Linked DNA regions of Arabidopsis thaliana. The protein of the gene in region 1 interacts with the protein of each later gene in a pairwise test. Each region holds a gene or a part of one and is shown on either strand. Other genes may lie near its edges. The genes, in order: AT1G74120 and MYBL2.

The links.
Region 2: the proteins of AT1G74120 (region 1) and MYBL2 interact in a two-hybrid assay, tested with the Arabidopsis thaliana proteins (one large-scale study listed by BioGRID).

What each region holds. Positions count from the first base shown.
Region 1 is NC_003070.9:27,868,443-27,881,174, reverse strand, and holds AT1G74120 (Mitochondrial transcription termination factor family protein), read left to right. Parts: upstream 1-7,842; 5' UTR 7,843-7,914; coding exon 7,915-9,252; 3' UTR 9,253-10,001; downstream 10,002-12,732. Other genes in the region: AT1G74150 (Galactose oxidase/kelch repeat superfamily protein), read right to left, coding at 1-106, 476-647; AT1G74140 (Rhomboid-related intramembrane serine protease family protein), read right to left, coding at 1,591-1,686, 1,774-1,815, 1,896-1,997, 2,145-2,201, 2,677-2,784, 3,060-3,179, 3,272-3,371, 3,910-4,247; AT1G74130 (Rhomboid-related intramembrane serine protease family protein), read right to left, coding at 5,278-5,379, 5,467-5,508, 5,590-5,691, 5,805-5,855, 6,015-6,125, 6,316-6,435, 6,516-6,636, 7,169-7,488. UniProt on the Arabidopsis thaliana protein: Transcription termination factor required for mitochondrial NAD2 intron 3 splicing and normal membrane respiratory chain Complex I activity. Essential for normal plant growth and development. Binds to RNA but not to double-stranded DNA.
Region 2 is NC_003070.9:26,790,982-26,802,879, reverse strand, and holds MYBL2 (MYB-like 2), read left to right. Parts: upstream 1-6,350; 5' UTR 6,351-6,653; coding exon 6,654-6,693; exon of another isoform or gene 6,694-6,863; coding exon 6,864-6,990; intron 6,991-7,076; coding exon 7,077-7,497; 3' UTR 7,498-7,828; downstream 7,829-11,898. Other genes in the region: LPR2 (Cupredoxin superfamily protein), read left to right, coding at 2,656-2,892, 4,020-5,144, 5,215-5,544, 5,626-5,679; AT1G71020 (ARM repeat superfamily protein), read left to right, coding at 9,775-10,068, 10,282-10,398, 10,490-10,876, 10,967-11,898.

The DNA.
Region 1 (12,732 bases):
GTACCACCAAACACAAAAAGGTTATCACCAACTGTTGTACAGCTATGACTGTCCCTCGGGCAGGGCGGTACGCCATTGATTTCAGGTCGAATCCATATCTGCGTCTCTGCAACAAAATTGCCACAAATGAGACTAGTTTCAACAATGAAAATTTTGAAAACATGACTACGAGTAAACCACAAAATAGCATCCCAACAAATAGTATATATTAAATCTTGAAAAAGGATCATAAAGTCCAAATCATTCAAGTAAGGTATAACAAAGAAAGAAACATTGAGTAGGTTACTAAAGGACAAAGGAAAAAGATCAAGATTTGCAACAAAATAAGATAAGTTTGTGGGAGTGGGGTCTACCGCACGAGCAAATTGAACAAAATCATCGATACATACAGAGATCCTCAAAGATTAAGACTTTATGCAAAACCCACTAAGAGAATCGACGCACAAGAACTGATATTTGTAGAAAAGATACTAACCAGCGTCGAAGACATGAACTTGATTTGTTAAGCAATTGTCTCTGCCAAAGCCACCAAATACGTAGAGAAATCTGCCGCCTTTAATGGCGTTACAAGTGTGTCCCCATCTCTTTCCGGGGCCGAAAGAAGAAGAATCACCGAGACCCACTTGTTGGACCCTCTCCCACCTCATTGTCTTGGAAGAAAGATCCTTCCTTTGCGTTGAGAAAGTGCGGGAAAATTAAGGGTTTTGTGGAATAGAAGATTATAAAATTGAAGACGAGAAGAGGAAAATCCAAAATCCCAAAATTATTTCTTTAATGGTAATGGCGATACAGAGGAATATAAAGGTGATTCCTTTGCTTTAGGTTTTTCTCTAATAACAATGTATTAAAGTATATACACTCTAATACACGATTATTGAAACAATGGTTACTGCAAAAGAAAAGAAAAAAAAAAAGAAACAGTTACCGAAATTAAAACAATGGTGCGACGACGTAACTGAATAAATGGACTGATTCGTGATAAACGGAGCCTTCTTTACTTTTTTATGTTGAGCTTTAATTCGAATGAGTAATGATGTCAACAACAACAACAAAAATAATCCAATGAGTAATCTTTCTTACCTTAAAGTCTATGTGTCCAATGAGTAATTCGTGGTACCCGTAATTAATTGTTACATACACAAATTAATAATAACATGGTAAAAGTCTAAAAGAAATTAACGTAACGGCATAGTTAAATAGAAAATTGTCAAAGGAAATATATTGAATATTTTTGCAGTTAATGGAGTAAAATTCATTGTTTGTCCTATATAATCTTTGTGATTGACGTGAAAAGACAACCATATCTTGGGGATGAGACTTGGAATAAATGTCAAGACATTAACCTTAAGATAATCTACAATGTTCAAATAAAAGTTCCAATTTTGACGATAAAGAGAGAAAAAAAAATAGTTTCCAATGTAACCAAACGGTCCAAACCCATCAAATTGATCTCTTGGTTTCAGTTTACAAAACAAAAGTCCAACCCAAACGAAAAAATGTTGACAAAAATCTCATTTGTCACGAAGTTTAACATAACTTGCATGATGATGATCAGGTCCACTGAATCTTTTGCAGCAAATCAGTTCAGTATCAAAATCGACCTTTCTTTATCCGTGCCCACGCCATGGCAGCAACCACAACTCCTCCCAACTGACCCGAACTCGATGCGATATGGTTCGGTCCCCCCTGCATTCCCAAAAAAGTTATGGTTAAGAGATAGTCATATATAGTGTTTCAAAGCAAATGCGGATTAGGTTTTCAGATTATACACACCTCTGGAATATTTAAAATCTCGACTCCTAAGTTTATGATTCGCTGAAGATTAAAGAGTGCGAGTTTTTTAGTTGGTTCACATGACTTTCACTCAATAAGAAGAGTATGTAGAGAGTTCTTACAAACATTACATGCACTCGGAGCATCAACGCAAAGTATGTTGTAACTTTTGGGTAGATGAACATATCGAGAAGCGCGATGGCAAACATAGATCCATCAGCACCCTGTACACAAATAGGAAAGAGTTTACCTCATCGGCATTTGGTGATCCAAAAACAAGTGCATGTGCATTTTCGTCTCACTCTCTATATCTATCAACCAAGTCTGTTCATGCTCAGACAAATCATTTAGTTAGGTGAGTACGAACATACCAGCAGCTGCGAAATGGGGGCTGTTGATTGATGATCCTTAATGACAACTCCTTCACCCTGTATGATTGACCAGCCAATATCAAAGGTAAAGCATTTCGTTTAATCTCCAGAGGTAAAATCATTTAGTCTAAACCTCAAAACTTCGTTTTGCACATATAACATGTACTGCAAATGAAATGCAACATGATCAATGAAAGAAACTATCAATCTGTGGACCTTGTTGGGTAAGCTTCAAGTCTTGAAGCCCAAGACAACTTAAACAAGTCGGTTTAAGTTATGTCAAAAAGAGTAATTATCTAGTTCAAGAAGAAAAGGAAAAAAGGAGTTTCCTAATTCATGTAGGACTAGGAATAGGAAATTGCAGTGTGTGCTAACCCTATATATATGTTTGTTGAGTTGTGGCAAACATAAGAGAAAACATTAAAAGAGCTTTGGTGTTTAGTTTTTGAGAGAGTTTTCTAATCATCAATAAAAGAGAGTTATTCTTTTAAAAGCTTTTTTATAGCATGATTTAAGGAAACTTGCTATATACCTTGAGTGTAGCCAAGAGGGCGTGATAACTCAGGAAGCAAACAGAGCCACCAAGTGCTCCAGCAAAGTACAGCTTCAAAAGGTAGAGCGGTCCCAAGGTTCTTGCAATCTAATAGCAACAATGGATTTTAGAGATGAAGATAAATAGTTAATTCAATGGATAGATCAGCAGGTAGCAAATTTCCCAAAAAGAACCGACTTAATAGTATCTAGCTAAGGACTTTTCTTTCTTAAGTATATTAGCTATTAGTGAATGTGTCTCCAATAAAGTGAAAGTAGCCACTTCATAGGAAACAAATGAAAGCATTTCTCATCTCATTTACAAAAATCGAATATTGAGAAGCATTTTTCTATGGAGAAACGACAAGGAAAGATAATTCATACTCTGGAGCCGAAGTAGGAGATTCCAATCATGTTCAAGATGATTTGACTGGTACCAATATGACTAAAACCCGAAGTTATCAGCGTGTGTATATATCCACTCGTAAAACTGTACGTTGATAGCTGCTCAAAAATCAAGGTTCAAACATATCAAAGATCAACCAAATCCAAGACAAGAGCTTAGCAGTAATATGTTAGACCACAAAATTTTTCACCATCCAGCTCCTGTCTGAAACTCGCCACATTGTAAATACAGCAGCATTAGCTATTACCAGTCCAAAAACTACACCATTAGCTCCATTGATCCAAGACTTCCTGCCAGAGGAAAACACAAACCAAAATCAACTAGAGCTGGTGAAGAATTTTAAGATTCTGATGTTATTTCTATATCTGGAGAACAAAGTTTTAATGAGAAGGGTGTGTACAGTGTCGAGCTGCTAGTCTATCTATAAAGAGAAAATCATCAAATGAACGTTGCGCTACTCAAATCAACAACTACACAGAAATGGCAAAATAGCAAGTAAAGCCTACTAATTTCTCATCTTCTTCTCTGAAATTCTCATACATGTCGTATGTCTTGGACGAGCCAAACGTGTACTTAACCAGAAAAGCTTAAAAAGGTCGATAATTTACCACAGAAACTCTGTTTAAACCCTAAATCAAAACCAGAAATTTCATCCGGAAGACAAGTTTATCTCAGAAAAATGTAGACTTTTACTTAGCTAACGAGAAACAGAGGATCATAGAGAAAAGGAACTCAGAAATTTCAGAACTTTTCTTAGGAAAGCTTCGAACTTTACTTTGAAACCCAGCAAAATCACAAAAAGAGAGACGAAAAGAAACGATTCCATACCATCCCCGCTTTTGAAACCCAGTAAAACCACCAGACTCGAATCCATGACTAGGAAGCTCAGAACTGAAGAACCCAGCTCTAGATTCCATAACATTTCCAAATTTCAGCTTTAGGTTGGTGTTTCCCAACTTGCTAGCGAAGAACCCATGAACTTTCGCCGATCGCGATACAGCAGAAGGAACAAAGTGGGGTACTGAAGAAGGAGATGAGAGGCGAGAAGGAAGAAGATGGCGACTCTGGTTTGGCTTCTTCTTCACCATTTTGGTTAGCTGCGATTGCGAAGAAGCACCAACGTTGACGACGACCTTGCGAGAGAAGCTCGAGAAAATCGCATGCATTTTTTCTCCTTTTTCTTCGGAATAAATTTTCAATTTTTTATACCAAATGCATGAACTTCTGATTGTTTTATTGTCATGAGACACCATGAGGTATGTGTGTTAAAAACGTCACCTTTTTTTTAGTGCAATCAAAAGTGACGTCACACTAAACACTAGTAAAATAAAATAAAATCACATGCTCATTCCCGTTTAGGAAAGTTGTAAATTTAAACCATAACTTTTCCATCTCCAAAATCACAATTTACATACATCAAATTATCAAGTAACCATAACCAGAAACTGCTATATCTTATTATTCATCTTCTCGCTATTGCTGCAACCGCAATAGTGTAAAAGAAGAATCAAAGCAAATTCACCATCAAATCTTGTACTAGAAATCGGTTAAGTAGTCTTTCACAAACTCACATAATGAGATTTACTCGACATCAAAACAATTATGTAATTGGACACTGAACAATTCCTAGAATGTACCCAAGTGACTAGAATCTACTCTCTCTCTGTTCTCTATAAAACGGCTAACTTAAACAAAGTCACAAAGATCCTCAACTTGACAAAATGAGGAAAAATTTGCATTTGTCTTTTCACAATAATTTTTTATAATCTTTTTGGATATTCTCATAAGTATTTATTTGCATGTTAGTACTATTTGTAAGGAAAAAGGATTTAGTCTTTATAGTTTAGGTTTGTCTATTTTAAAGGAATAGATAATTCGTTGTTTTTCTGTATAATCCTTGTGATTGACTTCAAAAGAAAACAATAGCTTGGTGAGAAGACTTGGAATAAATGTCAAGACAATAACCTTAAGATAATCTTCAATGTTCAAATTTTGACGACAAGAGAATAAGAATTAGTTTACTTTGGAAACGAAGGTTTCCAAAATGTGCAGGCCAAACGTAAAAAATAGTAATAATAATAATCTCATTGTCACAAAGTTTAACATAACCAGTACTCCAGTAGTATAATGATGGGACAAGTTATATGAATCTTTTGCAGCAAGTCCAAGGTTTGATGGAGAAAGTAAAATAATCAATCAGTAGCAGAATCGACCTTTCCTTATCCTTGCCCACGCAATGACTGCAACTACAACTCCTCCCAACTGATCCAAACTAGTCAAGGTATTGTTGTTTTTCCCCTGCATTCCCAAAAAAGTTGGTCTGGTTTAAGATATAGTCATATAGTCTCAAAGCAAATGTGGATTAGATTCTCACATCATACACACCTCTAGCATCTTTATAATGTTGAGTCCTAAGCTATAGATTCCCTGAAGATTAAGAGAGTGAGAGTATTTTAGATGATTCAGAAACGTTTCACTCATTATGACGAGTATCTAGAGAGACCTTACAGCAAATACAGGCACTCGGAGCATCAACCCAAAGTATGTAGTAACTTTTGGGTAAAGGAGCATATCGAGAAGCGTAATGGCATACACAGGTCCATTAGCACCCTGTACACAAATTGGAAAGAGTTTGACCATCCAAAACATGAGCGTGTGCATCTCTGTTCCAGTCTGTTTATACTTTTAAAAAATAATTTAACTGGATGAGTGAAAAAACATACCAGCTTCCCAATGGGGACTTTTAATTGATCCTTAGGGACAACTCTTTGGCCCTGTATGATTGATTAACCAATAACAAAGGTAAAGCATTTCGTCTAAACCTCACAAACACATAGAGAACATGTACGTAGTACAAATGCACTGGAAAAACTACACATCTGTGGACCTAGCATGGTTAGGAAAATGAGAAAATTATGCTTGTTGCACTATACCTTGAGTGATATAACCGAGAGAGCATGACTACTCAAGAAGAAAACAGAGCCACCAAGTGCTCCAGCAAAGTAGAGCTTCAAAAGGTAGCGCGGCCCAAAGCTTCTTGCAATCTAAGAACAAATGGGATTCGATATAAAGATCAATAGGTAGCAAGTTTTTCTTTTTAAACGAACTAAGGACGGTCCTTAGATGAGCCAGATTAAGTGTAAGTAGCCGGTTCATACTTCATAGGAAACAAATGAAAGCATTTCTCATTTCGTTTACGAAAATTAATATATGGAAACAAGGAAAAAATCTTACTCTGGCTCCGAAGTAGCAAAGCCCCATCATATTCAAGATGATATGAGTGGCTCCAACATGACTGAAACCCGAAGTGATCAGCGTGTGTATACGTCCAGTCATAAAACTGTACCTTGATAACTGTCCAAATACCATATGGTTAATAATACATGTAGATTTTTTATTTTTAAAAAAGTTGTTAGAATTTGATGAGGTCAGACCATAAAATTCTTCACCATCCACATATTGTCCTTGCCTAAAACCCGCCACATTGTAAATACAGCAGCATTAGCTATTACCAATCCAAAAACTACACCATTAGCTCCATTAATCCAAGACTTCCTGCCAGAGTTAAACCAATAAAGTGGTTTTTTCTTTTTGGTATTAGTATCCAAAATCAAATGGAGCAGGTAAAGAATCTAAGATTTTTGATGTAGGAGAACAATTTTTTAAAGGAGAAGGTCTAAACAGTGTCCAGCTTGCTATTCTATGTCTTATCTATAAAGAGAAAAGCATCAAAAGAGCTTTGTGCTGCTCAAAATCAAGAACTACGCAGAAATGGAAGAAAAAAAAAGCCTACTAATTTCTCTGAATCCTGACACGTCTTTTACTTGGAAGAGCCAAACGTACAATTGACCAGAAAAGCTAAAGAGAGTTGTGAAAAAAGGTCGATGCTTTACCAAATAAATCCTGTCAAACCCAGAAATTTTATGGTGAAGACAAATTTATCTTTGAAAAATGTAGTTTTTACTTGGAAACAAATAGGTACAATATAAAACAGAGGACCATAGAGAAAGGGGAACTCAGAATTTTTCTTAGGAAAGGTTCCAACTTTACTTTGAAAAACAAAAAGGGAGAGGAAAAGAAACGATACCATCCACGTTTTTGAAACCCAGTAAAACCACCAGACTCGAATCCATGACTAGGAAGCTCAGAACTGAAGAACCCAGCTCTAGATTCCATAACATTTCCGAATTTCAGCTTCAGATTGGTGTTTCCCAACTTCCCTGCGAAGAATCCATGAACTCTCGCCGATCGTGATACAACATAAGGAGGAACAAAGCGGGAAGAGAGATCAAAAGGAAGAAGATGGCTCAGGGAATGGCGACTCTGGCTCGCCTGCTTCGTCACCAATTTGGTTAGCTGCGGGGAAGAGCAACCGACGGCGACCCTGCGACAGAAAATCGCATGCATTTCGAAACTAATTTCAAATGTTTTACCAAATGGCGCAAAAATAAGAGAATAGCATCAACTTCTTCTGATTATTCATGAAAAGTGTGTGTTTCAAAAACTCAGGTCTTTTAAGTGCAATAAAATAGTGATGTAAATGTAACAAGAAGTAACAACTTTCTTTTTTTAGGTAAACAAAAGATTCCCTCCGGTTTAGGGAAATTGTAAATATACAACTTCCAACTTTCATTAAACCATGACGTTCCCATCTCTAAACCACAATCCCACTCAAGACAAGGTTAAATGTCTTACAAAACAAATAGTGGGTGGCATTTTCGGAATAAGATGAAACATTGAGGGTACAAATAATAATCTTAATTTTGTACACGTCGTCATCGTCTTTCTTCCTCCTTCGTACAGTGATTGAGTGCCTTGAAACTAAATAAAAAAATGGCCTCAAAACTCAAAACCTTCATCAATCTCCGTGACTACCCAATAACCCTATTCAACCAGATTCGATCACTATCCTCACGAATTCTCACACCTATCAATCAATCTCACTACAGGAAACGAATTTTACTCGCGAATCTCCTTCAGAGGTATGGTTTCCCTCCTTCTTCTCTTCAGCACTTCCTCTCAAGAAACAATCACCTATTGAATTCGGACTTAGTAGAAACCGAAATTTCTCTCGGCATCCTATTGTCATTGAAAATCCCTCAGAAATCACTCGTTTCGTTGATTTCCGATTGCCCTAATGTTCTGCGATCAGAGTTTCTGAGGAAATGGAGAGTTCCTCTGTCTAATTGCGGTAAACACGGTGTCGTCTCATCTTCTGCGATTAAGAGCGTCCTTGAACATTCTAGTAGAATTGGGATTGGTCCAGATAAGTTTAATGAGTGCGTAAGGGTTTTGAAGAGTTTAGGGTTTTGTGATAGTACTGTGAGTAGGATTTTAAGTTCATTCCCTGGTGTTCTTTTAGTGAATGAGATTGAAATTCGTAGGAAGATTGAGTTTTTAGTTGGAATTGGCATTGCTCGAGATAACATTGAGAGGTTCTTTCACGTTTTTCCTGAAGTTCTAGGGATTGGTACTGAGACTAGACTTAAGCCATTGCTTGATGAGTTCATGAAGATGGGGTTTAGTAAGGATGATGTAAAGAAAGAGATTGCTAGAGAACCGAGAGTTCTTGGTTTGGAGTTAGGTGAGCTTCCGCGGTGTTTGGAGTTGATCAACACATTGAAATGCCGGGAAGTGATTAGAGTTAGTATAATCAGCGAAGGAGCATTTCGTGCTGGGTTTGAAGTGAAGCTCAGAGTTGATTGTTTATGCAAATACGGGTTGATTCGTAGAGATGCATTCAAGGTTGTATGGAAAGAGCCGAGGGTGATCTTATATGAGATAGAGGATATAGAGAAGAAGATTGAGTTTTTAACTAACAGAATGGGATTTCATATCAATTGTTTAGCTGATGTACCGGAGTATCTAGGGGTTAATCTTCAGAAGCAGATCGTTCCACGGTACAATGTCATTGATTACTTGAAACTAAAAGGTGGGCTTGGCTGTGATATTGGATTGAAAGGTTTGATCAAACCAAGCATGAAAAGATTTTATAATTTGTACGTGATGCCATACCCAGAGTGTGAAAGAATCTTTGGAAAGAGAAAAGAGAATGTCCGAGTGAATAAACGACATCCCGCAGGGCTTTGGAAGCTTATGAAGCCGCCTAGCAATCTAACAACAAAAGAAGATGTGCAGAACATGAAGTCCTTTATAGAGTCACTTGCTTAGTATGTTGGATCTTGGACTTGCCTCTTACTAGATTGAAAGAGATCGGCCACTCTCTAGAGGGTTCTTGCTCCCTCACTTTGCTATGAGCTGCTCTGAATTGATATGGGTTATCAGGAACTTTCAGTGACTATCGAATCTGATCTCAACTCGCTCGAGTTCATGGCTTGATTATTCAAAGGACAATGCATACTCCTGAATAAGCCATGCTCACTTCTCGTTGTGCATCTTGGGAAGACATCTACCAATGCCATTGCCTTCGTTTCCATGTCTCTGCCTGATAGATTTGCTGAGCAAATGTAATTGGACTTTGGTTCTAAAAAGTCAAGTGCCATGTTCCAACTTCCAACTGTAACTACTAGTTAGGGATGTTACGTGGGCCGAGCCAGGCCGGCTAGTAGCCCGTTTTGGCAACTTTTATGCTAGGCCGATTCATCTGTTCCGTGATCCATCCCAGACAAACCATTTGTTTTTGGCATTTATACCAAAAATATTTGTTTCCAACAATTTTTTTTCTTAAACATTATTTTCAAATGTTTTACGTAAAAGCTCTGTTAACAAGAAACTTAGATTTATGTATGGAAGAATTGGTTATACATGAGTCAGTAAGTCATGAAATCTGTATAATGGGAAGAAGTTAATCAGTTAAATCTTATTTATTCCAAGAGGGTGATTGGAGAAAAAAAGAAGAAGAAGAGAGTTATTGGTAACTAGTGTTATTTATGTATTAATGAAGAAGAGAGTTATTGGTGTTATATATGTATTAATCAATCACAAATTGTACTACTAGTTAATTATGTAAGTAAAATCAATTGAAATGCAATATTAAATTTCCATGAAGATTTTAATTATAGAGAAAATTAAACTTTTCTATACATAGATAGATTACATGGTTCAATAAAAATTATTGTGAATAACAAGAAGTATTTAAAAAACGAAACTTATACTCTAAAAAAAAAAAAAAAAAAAAGACCAAGTGTTAAAAGGCTTGTAATGTAAGAAGCGACAGTTGGTCAAATAACATCTTTGACTTGGTCAACGTATTTTAACAACGGTTTTCTGTTAGAAATGGACTAATAGTATTAACTTACAAAAGACACACCCGATTTGTGAGTTGTGACATTTGCTTTGTCCTTAAGTATCACCACAAGCCAGCTTATATTGTCTCTATAGTTAGACAACCTTTGACCTTATTATACATACGTATATATGGAGCTTTTTTTTCAATTTCATATGGCATATATTTGTGTCACTGTGTGTGTGGTATCAATGTTCAAGGGAGACAGTTTTGTGGTTAACGAGGTCGATGCTTTGTTTGGTCCATACCCTGCATCGTCCATGGCCACCATATTACTATGTTTCGTGACGTAATTGATGATATGTATATCAAATTTCAACTCAAACTAGTTGAATATGAATGATGCAATTATGCACATTGATTTACAGGCCAGCGCTGGATTTAATATCCATTGAGCAAGTTATGAGAAAACAGTGGTCAATTAGTCAATTACCATTAAGTTCTTTTGAAGAGTCCAATATGGAACAAGATCAAACAAATTATGAGACTACAAAGACTTATGAGTTTATAACCAACTGAATTAAATTTCTATAAACAGACTCTTCCCTCTTGCACCTACTTCATCTTCTTTCTCTTACTATGTTTCTTCAATAGTCTTGTAACTGATAATATATGACCATTGAATGTAAATCAAACCTCTGTGTAAGTTGATTTATATCAGTTTCTGTCTATAAACTAGACTATATAATATAAGCCATCCCCCGGACGGTTTTACTTTTAGAATTTATTAAAATAGTAGTATAAGTTCGCATGAAGGACCGACACTGTCGAGTCATGTGCGTTTTAAAGAGACAATGAGGAAACAGTGACTTTTTTGTTGGGTCAAAGGGAAGCAAATCCATCTTGTTGGTTAACGATTCCATTATTAATTTTGGTGGATTCCCAATGGAATATCTAGGTAGAAATCATACAGTATTTACGGGCAAATTTGAATTCAAGTATTGAAAATTCTGCTCATTATCCCATCCATGATCCATTTCTTTTAAAATTAGAAACTACAGTAAAGCACTATGTAGTCTTACACACGTGGTATCGAATGAGCGAGATATGGCTGAGTACATTTTTCATTGATTTATGAGATGGTCGGAAGTCGGAACACACAATAATATCGTACTCGACCGTGTTGACCTATATGTTACTATGTACATCAAAATAGTCATGTACATATATGCTAGTTTAAGCTGTAGCCTTTTTTTACTTCCTAAACGTCCAAATAGGTAGCCAACCCTATATAACTCTTTCACATTTCAGTCGAATCATATTCTAAAATTTAACCGACCATATTGTATATCTTCCTCCTTCCACCGGTAACTGACTTTCCCTTGCGCGAAAAAGGATATTATTCTCTACCAGTTCGCGATATACATTCTAATATTTGATTCGTTCTTAATTACATGCATTATCGATTAAAAAGTATCAGAACAACTAACGATCATCATTATCTAGTCCTCGGAAAAATATTAAAGAATATCTGGTCCGACATTGCTAGATCCACTTGACTGCGAGCGTATCGGTGTCCGTAAGATTTATTGACTAGGTGGTATAGGAATTGGTAGTAAATAAATGAATATTTTTTCTTATGCATATATCTTTATATTTATATACAGTCTATGTTTTTAAGTTCTAACTTATTCATCTGATCTGCTGATCTCTTATTAGATATGTTTTAACAAAAAAAATCTCTTATTAGAGTATGAGGTTTCTTTAATATGTTTTTTCCTCTAGTTAAATGAATAGAACAAAATGGAAATTATATTTTAGTTAGTTCACCGAATCTCTTATTTAATAGAGGAATTGGTTTCTATCTTTTGTTCTTTCTCGTCATTGGAATAAACTGAATGATTTATTTTGTTTTTGTTTCAATATAAGTTATATAACTTCTAACATTCAGTAAGAACTATATATATTCTAATTTATTTACATGAAAATAATATACTTAGTTTTAAACTCCTATTATTAAGATTTTTGGTCATGATGAAACATTCCTTTGATTTAGTGACTTCTATCACACAGCCTTTTTCTCTCTTTGGGAATTTTTGGTATACGTTCGAAGAAATATGTTCCGTACGTAGACGATAATCTAAATGTTGTAGAAAAGTAACGAAGAATGATTACGTGATAACAATTGTTATTGAACTTTTAATATAACAAATTATTGGTACATTCATTAAGCACTTTCTAAAAAATATGGAGCCTGTAGGTATACAATGGCTTCACTCGGATGTCATGTAAACCAAATCATGTATAAACCATGCAAAAAGGGGTAAATCCATCAAATTAGAATGAAGAAAAGCGGTGCGATGTCTTGACCATGGTTAAAGGGTACCTAACTGGACTTTCTATCTAATCCATCTAACCCTAGTTAAAATCCTCCACTATATAAATTACATTCTCATGCACTGTCC
Region 2 (11,898 bases), 1.1 Mb from region 1:
GTGAAATCCATACATCATCAGATAATAAAATATCAACTTTTTATCTCTATATTTTATCTTCCATTACGTAGTTTTTGACACATAGAAGATCCAACAGCGTTTAACTAGATTTTCTTCGGAGCCATTAAATATAGTTTGTTCCTCAATCGAAGTAGATATGCGGCTGATGATGCAGCCATAAAAAAAGAAAGGTATTTGTAGTCATAACTTTCTTAGTAAATGACTTTAGGTTTAGAAAATGACGCGTAACTAATCAAGAAAATTAGTAGTAACCGTAATTAACTTGGAACGTAACCATAGCAAAATATTTCCGACCACTCGCAAGGAGACAAGTCAATTTGTAAGTGAAATTAGAAATTGTGTTTCTTACGAAACGGTTAATTTATTGCACAATTTGGTCTGCTTCTTGTTTTCTTTATAACTATTTTGAGTATGTTTGTTACATGCATGGATGATCAGAAATGTAATATATTATTCTTCGAATAAAACTGTGGCACCGTGCACATATCCAACCTTAATACATTATAGTCTAATCTTAATATATTTTTGTAGTTCAAACCTTGCTGTGAATTTGTATATAATATACTGGGAGATTTTATTCTTGTACAACTCAAAACAAATTAATGCCTCACGTAAAACAAACACCTGTTTAATCCTTAGAATGAGTGATCTTTAAATAAAATCCCAAGAATATTAGAATTTGAAATTTCATAATATTATGGTGCTTATGATGAGATGACATTTAAGTATCTCGCTGGATATTTCAAATCAACTGTTTGGGACGAAACTGATATGACTGATTATTAAATTATGACTTCGCATAACTCGAAAGTTGAAACACAAAAATGGATATGTTAGATTTGAAACTGTGAAAAGGACGCAAACAAATGGAGAGATGAGAAGCGGCACACGAAGGGAAAACGCAAACGCGCGTTTGAACATATCAAGGTGGGACTTAAGGTAAAATCGTCGTTTGATGGCGACAACCGCATTTTTAGCTAGGTGGGAGATGGGCTTTTGGATAACCTCCACGTGTACAGTACCCCAGACATCGACGGCTTCCAGTCATTTTGACTAGGAACACCAAAACATAGACAGGCTCAAAAGTCAATAGTACTAGCAATTATCTGTGAAACCAAAAACGAACCAAACCTGAAATTTGTAGAACTGGATTGATCACAAAATCTGTATATAATAGGAACTTTGTATATATAATGGTTGATTTTGTTTTAAATTTTGTTGATTCAGAGTCAAATTGATTAATTTTGGTTTAATTTGATTTTTTTCCTCACACTCTTCAAAAAGTTAATTTGGTGTATTTTCTTGTTAAATTTAATTTTTAGGTTTCTTGGATTTGTCTGAATTATTTTTTAAAAGCATGAATATATATTGTAGTTGTATAATATATGATGTGTATTCAAATGAAAAGCATAGAGTATATATATATATATATGTATAACCACTATTTGCGTGTTTTTTACGTTAGAACTCATGCTAGATGATAATCTTTGGAGTAGCATCAAGAGAAGTTTAAAAGGAACTATAGTTCCAACTTGTAACAAATAAAGAATATGTTAGGTTTTTGGGCTGTTTTTGATTCTCCCTTTTGAAAAATTATTTGTTGATGCTGGGTTCATTTTGGGCCTGGCTAGGTATATTTTATATTGTCAGTCTTTTATAGACTGATGGGTTACTTTTTCGCTACTTTCAATATTAATGAAGAAAAAGTTTATAAAAAAAAACAGAAAAAACAAAAAGAATTAGTTTTAGAGAACATTAGGTTTGCTAGATTTCGGCTAACTCGCAGAGAAATGGTTCGACCTTTAAGGCAAACATAACTACAAATTTCAATGGTTGAAATTTGGTGTTTGGACATGCGAATAAAGATCTGTTTAGTGAAGGAATGTTTGTGAGACCTCCCACAAGCTTGGATGATAACCTTAGCTTTAACCATTATAGGTCTGCGATAATGCATGTTACGGGAGGCTGAAGGAGCTAAAACGATAACATGGTTAAGACAATTTTTGAGAGATTGGAAAAACTCATTCTAATTTTTTTTGTAACGCGTAAGTTAGAGAAAATATCTTAATAACGGGACGAAATATAGTGGACGAACTAGGCCCAAAAGTTTCCATGGTTTCTTTCTTGTATTAGTTCCATTAGAAGAATGTTGATTTTTTCGTAAAAGATCCATTTGAGAAGACAGAACTATTAACCTTGTTATTCACAAAAAGAATTATGAAGTATGAACCCTGTTTAATTTTCAGTTAATTTTTGATAGATATAAACCATATAATTAATGGATATATTATATACGTATATATATATATTCATTTTTTAAGAAAAATCAATACTCTTGTCATGTACATATAATATTCAAATTCTAGTTTTATAATGTAGAAGCTTACTAATTAAAAAAAAAACCATTCCTTTTTGGAAGATAAATTCTAGGAAAGTAGCGACTCAATAGTCAAGAGAATGAAAGCAAAGAACAACAAAGTTATTTGACACCACACACTCGTATGCATAAATACGCAAAACCCCAAAGAACTTCTTCAACTTCTCTCCTCAACTTTTAAGTATTCCACACATACAAACACACACACACACTTGACTTTTCTCATATAATTTCGACAGCTCGTGAAGGACAAAGACATGGAGCCTTCTCGGAGGAGAATGACCAGAGACATGTTGCTTCTAATCGTAACGATGGCATGGCTCGTAACCGGAGACGAAGGAGGCATAAAGCAAGAGGAGCGACTGTTTAATCTTGGGAAGCTTGAGATGTTCGTTGACAAGCTTCCTCATATACCAACACTTCATGGCTACCACTTCGTCAATGGCTTCCTCAAACCCAAATCTCTTCACATAGGCATGTTCTTCAAGAAATGGGTATTTAATTCTTTCCTTCTTCTCATTTTCCTTATATTCTAATTTTTGTTTCCTTGTTTTCTAATTTCTTTCCTCTATTATATATTTTCCTCTTGTTTTCTCTGTTTTCTTGAAGTTATATTTGGTATGTTATTAAATTAAATTTCCAGTCTATAGTCGTTCGTGAAAACAGATCATCTTCCATTTCTGTCATGAGGTTATAAATGGCCAAAATATTTAGATAGAAAATTCAAATAACCATCATTTAGTGATTTACACCTGTATTACATGCAAAAAAATAGACTCATTAACTTTCTTGACCAACTTAAGCCGACTAACTAATGTTGAACATTATCTCCTTAATGAAAAACATTAACATTAAATTCGATATCGTATAAGATTAGTGAAGTTAATTTGCTTTTTACTTGGCTACGGCTCTTCTTAGGTTGTAAAGTGATTAGAATAGATTCGTGTTGTGTTCACACTATTGTCCCCTCACTTGTTTGTCGTCTTTGAGAAAAAGTATTAATAATTGTATACTTTTTATCACTCGTCATGTTGAATATTATTTGCCCTTCACCGAATGAATACTCAAATTCCTCTTTGTTCATAAACTAATCTAAACTCATTAATGACAAAAATTAACATTAAATATTCGAAATCGTATAGATCAGTGAAAACTTAAGTGCTTTTTAGTTGGCTACGGCTCTTTTTTGGTAAAGTGATTTGGAATTGATTCATCTTGTGTACTCCACTCTTATCCTCTCACTTATTTGTCCTCTTGAGAAAAATATCTATTGGTTTATAGTACTGACGAATCAGTGCTCTTTTATAACTAGTCAAATTTAATATTATTTTGCTCTCCTACCGAATGAATACACATTTTTTTTATAGTTTCTATAAGCTCTTTAAGTTTTGTTCTGATAAATTATACTAAGAACATCATCAAATCTAATGATTAATTGATAGAAAGTTATTACCCACTAACTATATAATTATGATTGCTTTTCTACCACTTTGGCCTAGCTAATTGTGCTCTGTTCCTTTAAACTATTTTATTACTCTGCTAATGATTCGAATGATTTAAGTTTTTGAATTTCTCTAACTCTGTCACACACTGATATGAGTTAAATCATTGTGAAGTACAGAAATTCCACAGAGACTTGCCTGCCACGCCAGTGTTCGCATATGGTACATCAAAGCGTTCAGCAACAGTTCCTGGACCAACAATAGAAGCTGTTTATGGCGTCGACACCTACGTGACGTGGCGAAATCACCTCCCTTTACATCATATCCTCCCTTGGGACCCAACAATCTCTCCGGCAATCCCTAAACACGGCGGCATTCCCACGGTGGTTCACTTGCACGGAGGTATCCACGAACCAACTAGCGATGGAAATGCAGATTCATGGTTCACCGCTGGTTTCAAAGAAACTGGTTCCAAATGGACCAAAAAGACTACACATTACGTCAACAAGCAACAACCTGGAAACATGTGGTACCATGACCACGCGGCAGGGTTGACCAGAGTCAACCTTCTTGCCGGTTTGTTAGGCTCTTACATTCTCCGTCATAGCTCAGTCGAATCGCCTCTTCGGTTACCTACCGGACGCGAATTCGATCGTCCTTTGGTCATCTTTGACCGATCTTTTCGTAAAGATGGTTCCATTTACATGAACGCTACAGGGAACAATCCAACGATTCATCCACAATGGCAGCCAGAGTATTTCGGCGACGCCATCATTGTGAACGGTAAAGCATGGCCGAGATTAACCGTCCGCCGCCGGAAATATAGATTTCGAATCACAAACGCTAGTAACGCAAGGTTCTTCCGGTTCTTCTTCTCCAACGGTCTCGACTTCATTGTCGTTGGTTCCGATTCCGCTTATCTAGCGAAACCAGTATCGACCAAATCTGTTCTCCTAGCTCCGTCGGAGATTGTCGACGTACTCGTTGACTTTTCAAAGTCAACATCGAAAACGGCAATTCTTGCCAACAATGCACCTTATCCTTACCCGTCGGGAGATCCCGTCACGGAAGAGAACAGCAAAGTCATGAAGTTTATAATCAACTACAAATCAGAAGTTGACACGTCGATTATTCCGAAGAAGCTAATTGAATACCCTCCTGCTCATGTATCAACCTCCACACGTACACGTTACATTGCTATGTTCGAGTATGTGTCAAGCATTGACGAGCCAACACATCTATACATCAACGGTCTGCCTTACAACGCTCCCGTAACCGAAACTCCAAAAATCGGCACAAGCGAGGTATTTATAACCAAAATTTCACTATTCACTAACCGTATAGTTCAAATCTTTAATGCTTACAATAATGAAGGTGTGGGAAGTGATAAACTTAACCGAGGATAACCATCCGTTGCACATTCACTTGGGATTGTTTAAAGTATTGGAGCAAACGGCATTGGTGAAGAGTGAGGAGTTCATAGAGTGCATGACTAAAAGAAACGATGCCGTCAAGTGTGAGATTAGCAAATACGCACGAGGGAACAAGACCGCGGTTACGGTACACGAGCGGGGATGGAAAAACGTATTCAAGATGATGCCGGGACATGTAACGAAGATACTCGTTAGATTTTCTTACATTCACTCAAACGAATCTTACTCCTTTGACGCAACTCAAGAGCCAGGCTATGTTTACCACTGTCACGTAAGTTGGTAAAATACTAAAAAGTTGATGACGAATTTAGCTTTTTCTTTTAGAACTAACTGTATGATATTGGCATTGCAGATATTGGACCATGAAGACAATATGATGATGAGGCCCTTTGCAATGGTGCTATAATTCTAAAACGAAAACAATTTACAATTACGAGTGCAGAATACAAACGAGTTGATATAGATTGAGATTTCAGATTACATAAATATCTTATACAGAAAGTGTTAAAAGATAATTCGATTGGATTGATGTTATATCTCTATCATTGTTTTTCACTTGGCCTCGGAGATTAGAAGCAGCTTGTTAATGGGCTTTTAACAGTTACGGGCTTTAACGGGCCCAATAACAAAACTCTTTTGCTTCTTATATGATTTTGGAGTAGATGGTAAGTGAGATAGGGAAGTGGTGAGTGAAATTAGAAAATTCCTCGTATACAAAGTCCTAACCACCAGTCAAATTCAATTGAATGCTCCCATGTTTCTCCCTTATCTGTTCCTGAACCTACACTCTTTAATTTCATGGTTTCCTATTTTCTCTTAATTTGTTTATTTTCATGTCATATTCGGAAGCTTCAGATATTTTATCAAATAATGCATCCAAATAATTTTGAGCCACTAGTCAAATATCTTCTTCGTCTTCTTCTTGCTTAATATATATTTTAGTGAATCTATTATTGATACCACACACACATCTTTGATATTTCACAAAAGGTATCTATCGGAGCCGTACATATATTTTACGAAAATGTGGATAAGAGCGAGATTTGGATTGGTATTGGTAAGGCAAATTAAATGCGACACACTTCCACATTCATGATTCCACAAATTCTAATGGATTTGAACAAATATGGGACCAATTTTTATTTGTTTCAACTCCTAAATGTGGGACCAATTAACAAGGTTGATGTATTCTTCTTGTTCTTCCTCGTTCATTAATAGTTTGATTGAGCATGCACGCTTCTCTCAACCCACCAGTCCAAGTCAAACCTCCTCAAGCCATCCCCTAATCCTATATATCAGTTTCTTCTCGCAAACCACCTCACAATCTATCAACAGTTTTAAAAAAAGACATAACTCAACCAATCTCACTTTGAAAAAGACATGAACAAAACCCGCCTTCGTGCTCTCTCCCCACCTTCCGGTAACTATTTTCTCTTTAAACAGTATTAATCATGTGTTTTGCTATTCACATCACCAAATTATTCATAGTTTAAAGAGGTCGATGTAGAATTCATAGATATACATGTGTACATACGTGACTTTGTGACGATATATCGTTTTAATTTGTTAAATTTTGATCCCTTCTCTTAGGTATGCAACACCGTAAGAGATGTCGATTGAGAGGTCGAAACTACGTAAGGCCAGAAGTTAAACAACGCAACTTCTCAAAAGATGAAGACGATCTCATCCTCAAGCTTCATGCACTTCTTGGCAATAGGTTCGTATTCATTCTTCTTATTCTTTAATTCAATAGTAATGTGAACGGTACGTGCTAATAATCATTTTGATGTTATGTTTTTTCAGATGGTCATTGATAGCGGGAAGATTGCCAGGACGAACCGACAACGAAGTTAGGATCCATTGGGAAACTTACCTAAAAAGGAAGCTCGTAAAAATGGGAATCGACCCAACCAATCATCGTCTCCACCATCACACCAACTACATTTCTAGACGTCACCTCCATTCTTCACATAAGGAACATGAAACCAAGATTATTAGTGATCAATCTTCTTCGGTATCCGAATCATGTGGTGTAACAATTTTGCCCATTCCAAGTACCAATTGCTCGGAGGATAGTACTAGTACCGGACGAAGTCATTTGCCTGACCTAAACATTGGTCTCATCCCGGCCGTGACTTCTTTGCCAGCTCTTTGCCTTCAGGACTCTAGCGAATCCTCTACCAATGGTTCAACAGGTCAAGAAACGCTTCTTCTATTCCGATGAGAAATGGTGTATTTGTTTGTACACATTTGTTATATTACAAATGCACATATTATAATATTCACTAGAGAGATGGTATAACGATGTTTGAAATATGTTAATCCTGAATTGGACCGGCTGGTCATTGAACAACTATTCTCTTAAATGTCCGGTTCTGTTTTCAGTGATTAGTATTATAGTAGATCGTTAATAACTAACCGACGATAACCGCTGCTTATTTGATCAATCAAGCTGTAAGAAATTATAGCTAATACAGCAATGTTAACGGTGCACATTGACGGGAAGTATTAATTAACTCTCTTAAAATGGACAAGTATGTTCATTTTCCTCCAAACTACACTTTACTCTTTATTCAAAAGCAATTTCAAACTCTCGTTTCGCACAAAGGAATCTATAAATACGAAAATTACTTACTAAAGATATAAAGGAAGCAAATTAGTTAACTTATAAAATAATGAAATGTATCGATTTAAGGATGTCTTAAGCATGGAGACTATACGGTCAAATATGCACCAACTAGTACAAACACGTTCACATATATTTTGAACAAAACTCACAATGAATTTGTTTAAAGTATCTTCATACATGCTTAAAATAAAAATTAGAAAGTAAATACATTTGTACAACCGCTATTCAAACATCATCAAATATTAAACAAAATTGCATGACCAAAGAATATGAATGTTTGACAAGTATAGAAGAGGAGATTGTTTGCTAAGAAAATGGACCAATATTTATCATCGAAACTACAATCATCATTAAGGTTGTTTCTACGATTGCGGGATCTACAACCATCAAAGAAGTTGTTTCCACAACTGTATAAACTCTGATCTCACCTTCACTTTCATATTGTTCCGCAAGTACAACTACACCATAAATTTCAGAAATAACGGTGAGTATTGTGGTTAATGGAGAGTTGTGTGTGGATGTGCAAGCAAAAATCACATGCCTCATCAAACACTTCAAGGTTATTAATCTTCATCTGATTCAGACGAATACCCTCTTCTTTATGTAGATCTTTTTATTTTTGCATATGTCCAAAAATAATTATGAAACCAGCCAGTCAAACTTGCCAAAAATGTCTAAAAGATAATGTTGTCTATTTTTCAAGTTGCTATCGGTTGTTATGTAGGACGCAGAAGTCACGGGCATGGACGTCGGCCGATATGATGTGGATGTCGTGGTTGAACCTTTCTTTTGTTAAACCGAGATAACTTTTCAATACAAGACTGTCACAAACTATATGTAAGTCATGTTTATAAATTTTAATCAAAAGTATACTAAACTGTGGTAAAACAGTTTTAAGAAAATTATAGGTCCCAATTTGTATACATGCTTCAAATTATCTAAAATGTTGTTAAAATTCGATCTACCGGGTCATGTTCGACCGTTCCATTTGCAGGCTATATAATACTCACCAAAATTATGTTAATTGACATAATTTTTCTAGAACATTTTTGCTGTAAGAGATATTAAATTTTCTTACACATACAAAGTTATTTTTAAGGGAAAATAAAACATGTAAAGCTATATTTAGTTAATTACAAAGAAGATTTTTTCCATCTTTTAATAAACACTAGGGTAAGACAGATCATATACTAGAAACACATGTCAATACAATGCATCTAAAGGCCTGGAAATTTTATCTTAGTTTCTTTTCAAATAGAAAAAATAACTAATTTGACTATTTATTACCATTTAAGATTACATAAATAATACATACAGATAAATTTCATAACTCCAACATAAATTTCAACACAACTATAAAATACAATCATATAAGATCTACTTTACAACTAAGCACACAACAAACCATTTTCTTCAATAAATAGAAAAGTGGATTTTTTTATTGAATTTAAAAGTATAGTTCATTTCTATTATACAGTTTTGATCTAATATAAATGATAATAATTGATTATTTTTTTGACAACTGTATCATTTTCTCTTCAACCTCTACTTGCACCGTGAATCTCGCTCTCAATTATCTAGTTTGTTCTATTGTATTATTTAAATGTATCACATAAACTTTTATCTAAAAATATAAAGCCAGTAAACTAAAAAGAAAAGAAAAAACCATTTTTAGAGTTAGATAAAAAGTTTAAAACAAAAAACACTAAAACCAAAACGGTGTCGTAACAGCGACTTATCCTTTTTCGCCACATGGCTTCGTTGGATACATAAAAGCGATAGAGACGCATCTCTGAGTCAGAAGCGAGCCAGCGAGAGAGAGAGAGCGAGTCACAAAAATTCGAATTTTAAGCCGCCGTGTGAGACGGCGTAATGGCTGGTGGAGCTATCACTCCCGATTCTCTCATCGGTCTTATTGCTGAAATCAATGAGATTCCGGGGAATTTTGGTTTGTTTAAGAAGGATTGTTCCGATCTCGCGCGACGAGTCGGTCTCCTGACGCATTTGATTGAGGAAATCAGGGATTCTTCTCCGCCGTCGGAATCTGATGCTTCTTCTTCGTTGAATTCTCATGAATGTGATTGGTGGTCTGATCTTGTGGTGGGACTTCAAGCCGCGAAGCGTCTTTTGTCTTCAGCTACTAGTTTCCAAGCTCGCGAGTCCTCTGTAAGCATTCTAAACCATTCTCAACGATTGAAAATGGATTTGTGATTTCACGAAGATTTGGTCTCGCCATGGCAGGAACGTAATTTATAGGAAGAATTTGTTTTTAGTTTTTTTAGATTGGAAGATACTATTGTTGACATTTGTGTAGTGAAGAGCATTATTAATATATACATGAGGAGCTCTCTAAACTTTGATGTGTGATTTTGATTGAAGGATGGGGCAGCCAAGAGGATCTCATTCCAGTTCCAATGTGTTACATGGAAGCTGGAGAAAGCATTAGGTGATTTGACATATGATAGATATGATATCTCTGACGAAGTCCGTGAACAGGTAAAAGTTTGTTCATTATGTAGAATGTATGAAGATTTGGTTTTCCTATCCATGGAGGTGTTTCTAAGGGTTTTTTTTTGCTTGTGATTAGGTGGAACTAGCAAGATTACAGTTAAGAAGAGCAATGCAGAGATATGGATCGTTAAATTCGAAGAAGTTCTCGAGTGGTTTATCTGAGCCAATGGAGAAAGATGCCTCAAGTAATAGAAAAGTTATTGAAAAGTTGGAGAGTATTCCAGAGACAGTGCATTCTTTATCAGATGAGAAGAAATTTGAATCACCCCCTCCTTGGAAGAGCTCTTCAGTATCATTGGCCTTCTTTTTATCAAAGGATGGTGATGATGAGAGATTAGAGAAAGCAGTTACCGAGAACAGCGATGACTCACAGAAATCGGATAATCTCACGATTCCAGAGGACTTTCTTTGTCCAATCTCTCTGGAACTGATGAAGGATCCTGCTATTGTTTCCACAGGACAGGTCTGGTTTAAAAAATCAAATCTTTATATAGTGCTAACGTATGGTTGTTGATTTGAAACCTTAACAATGATCTTCTCTCTTCGTTGGCAGACATACGAGAGGTCGTTCATTCAGAGATGGATAGACTGTGGAAATCTGAGCTGCCCAAAGACACAGCAGAAACTTGAAAACTTTACTCTTACTCCAAACTATGTCCTCAGAAGCCTGATATCTCAGTGGTGCACTAAGCACAACATTGAGCAACCAGGTGGTTACATGAACGGTAGGACCAAAAACAGTGATGGGTCTTTCCGTGATCTAAGTGGAGATATGTCAGCGATCCGAGCATTGGTTTGTAAACTCTCTAGCCAATCAATCGAAGACCGCAGGACTGCGGTTTCTGAAATCCGCTCTCTGTCAAAAAGAAGCACAGACAACCGAATTCTGATTGCAGAGGCAGGAGCCATCCCTGTTTTGGTCAAGCTTTTGACCTCAGATGGTGACACTGAAACGCAGGAAAATGCTGTCACTTGCATTCTTAACCTCTCCATATACGAACACAACAAAGAACTGATCATGCTTGCAGGAGCAGTCACATCTATAGTGCTAGTCCTCCGAGCTGGAAGCATGGAAGCTAGAGAAAACGCTGCAGCTACTCTCTTTAGTCTTTCGTTAGCTGATGAGAACAAGATCATTATAGGCGCATCAGGTGCGATAATGGCCTTAGTGGATCTGCTTCAATATGGAAGCGTCAGAGGGAAGAAAGACGCAGCTACGGCTCTGTTCAACTTGTGTATTTACCAGGGAAACAAAGGCAGAGCAGTTAGAGCCGGTATAGTAAAGCCATTGGTGAAAATGCTGACAGACTCCTCGAGCGAGAGGATGGCTGATGAAGCCTTGACCATACTCTCGGTTCTAGCTAGTAACCAAGTCGCGAAAACTGCGATTTTGAGAGCCAACGCAATACCACCTTTGATAGATTGTCTCCAGAAGGATCAACCGCGAAACCGAGAGAACGCAGCTGCGATACTACTGTGTCTTTG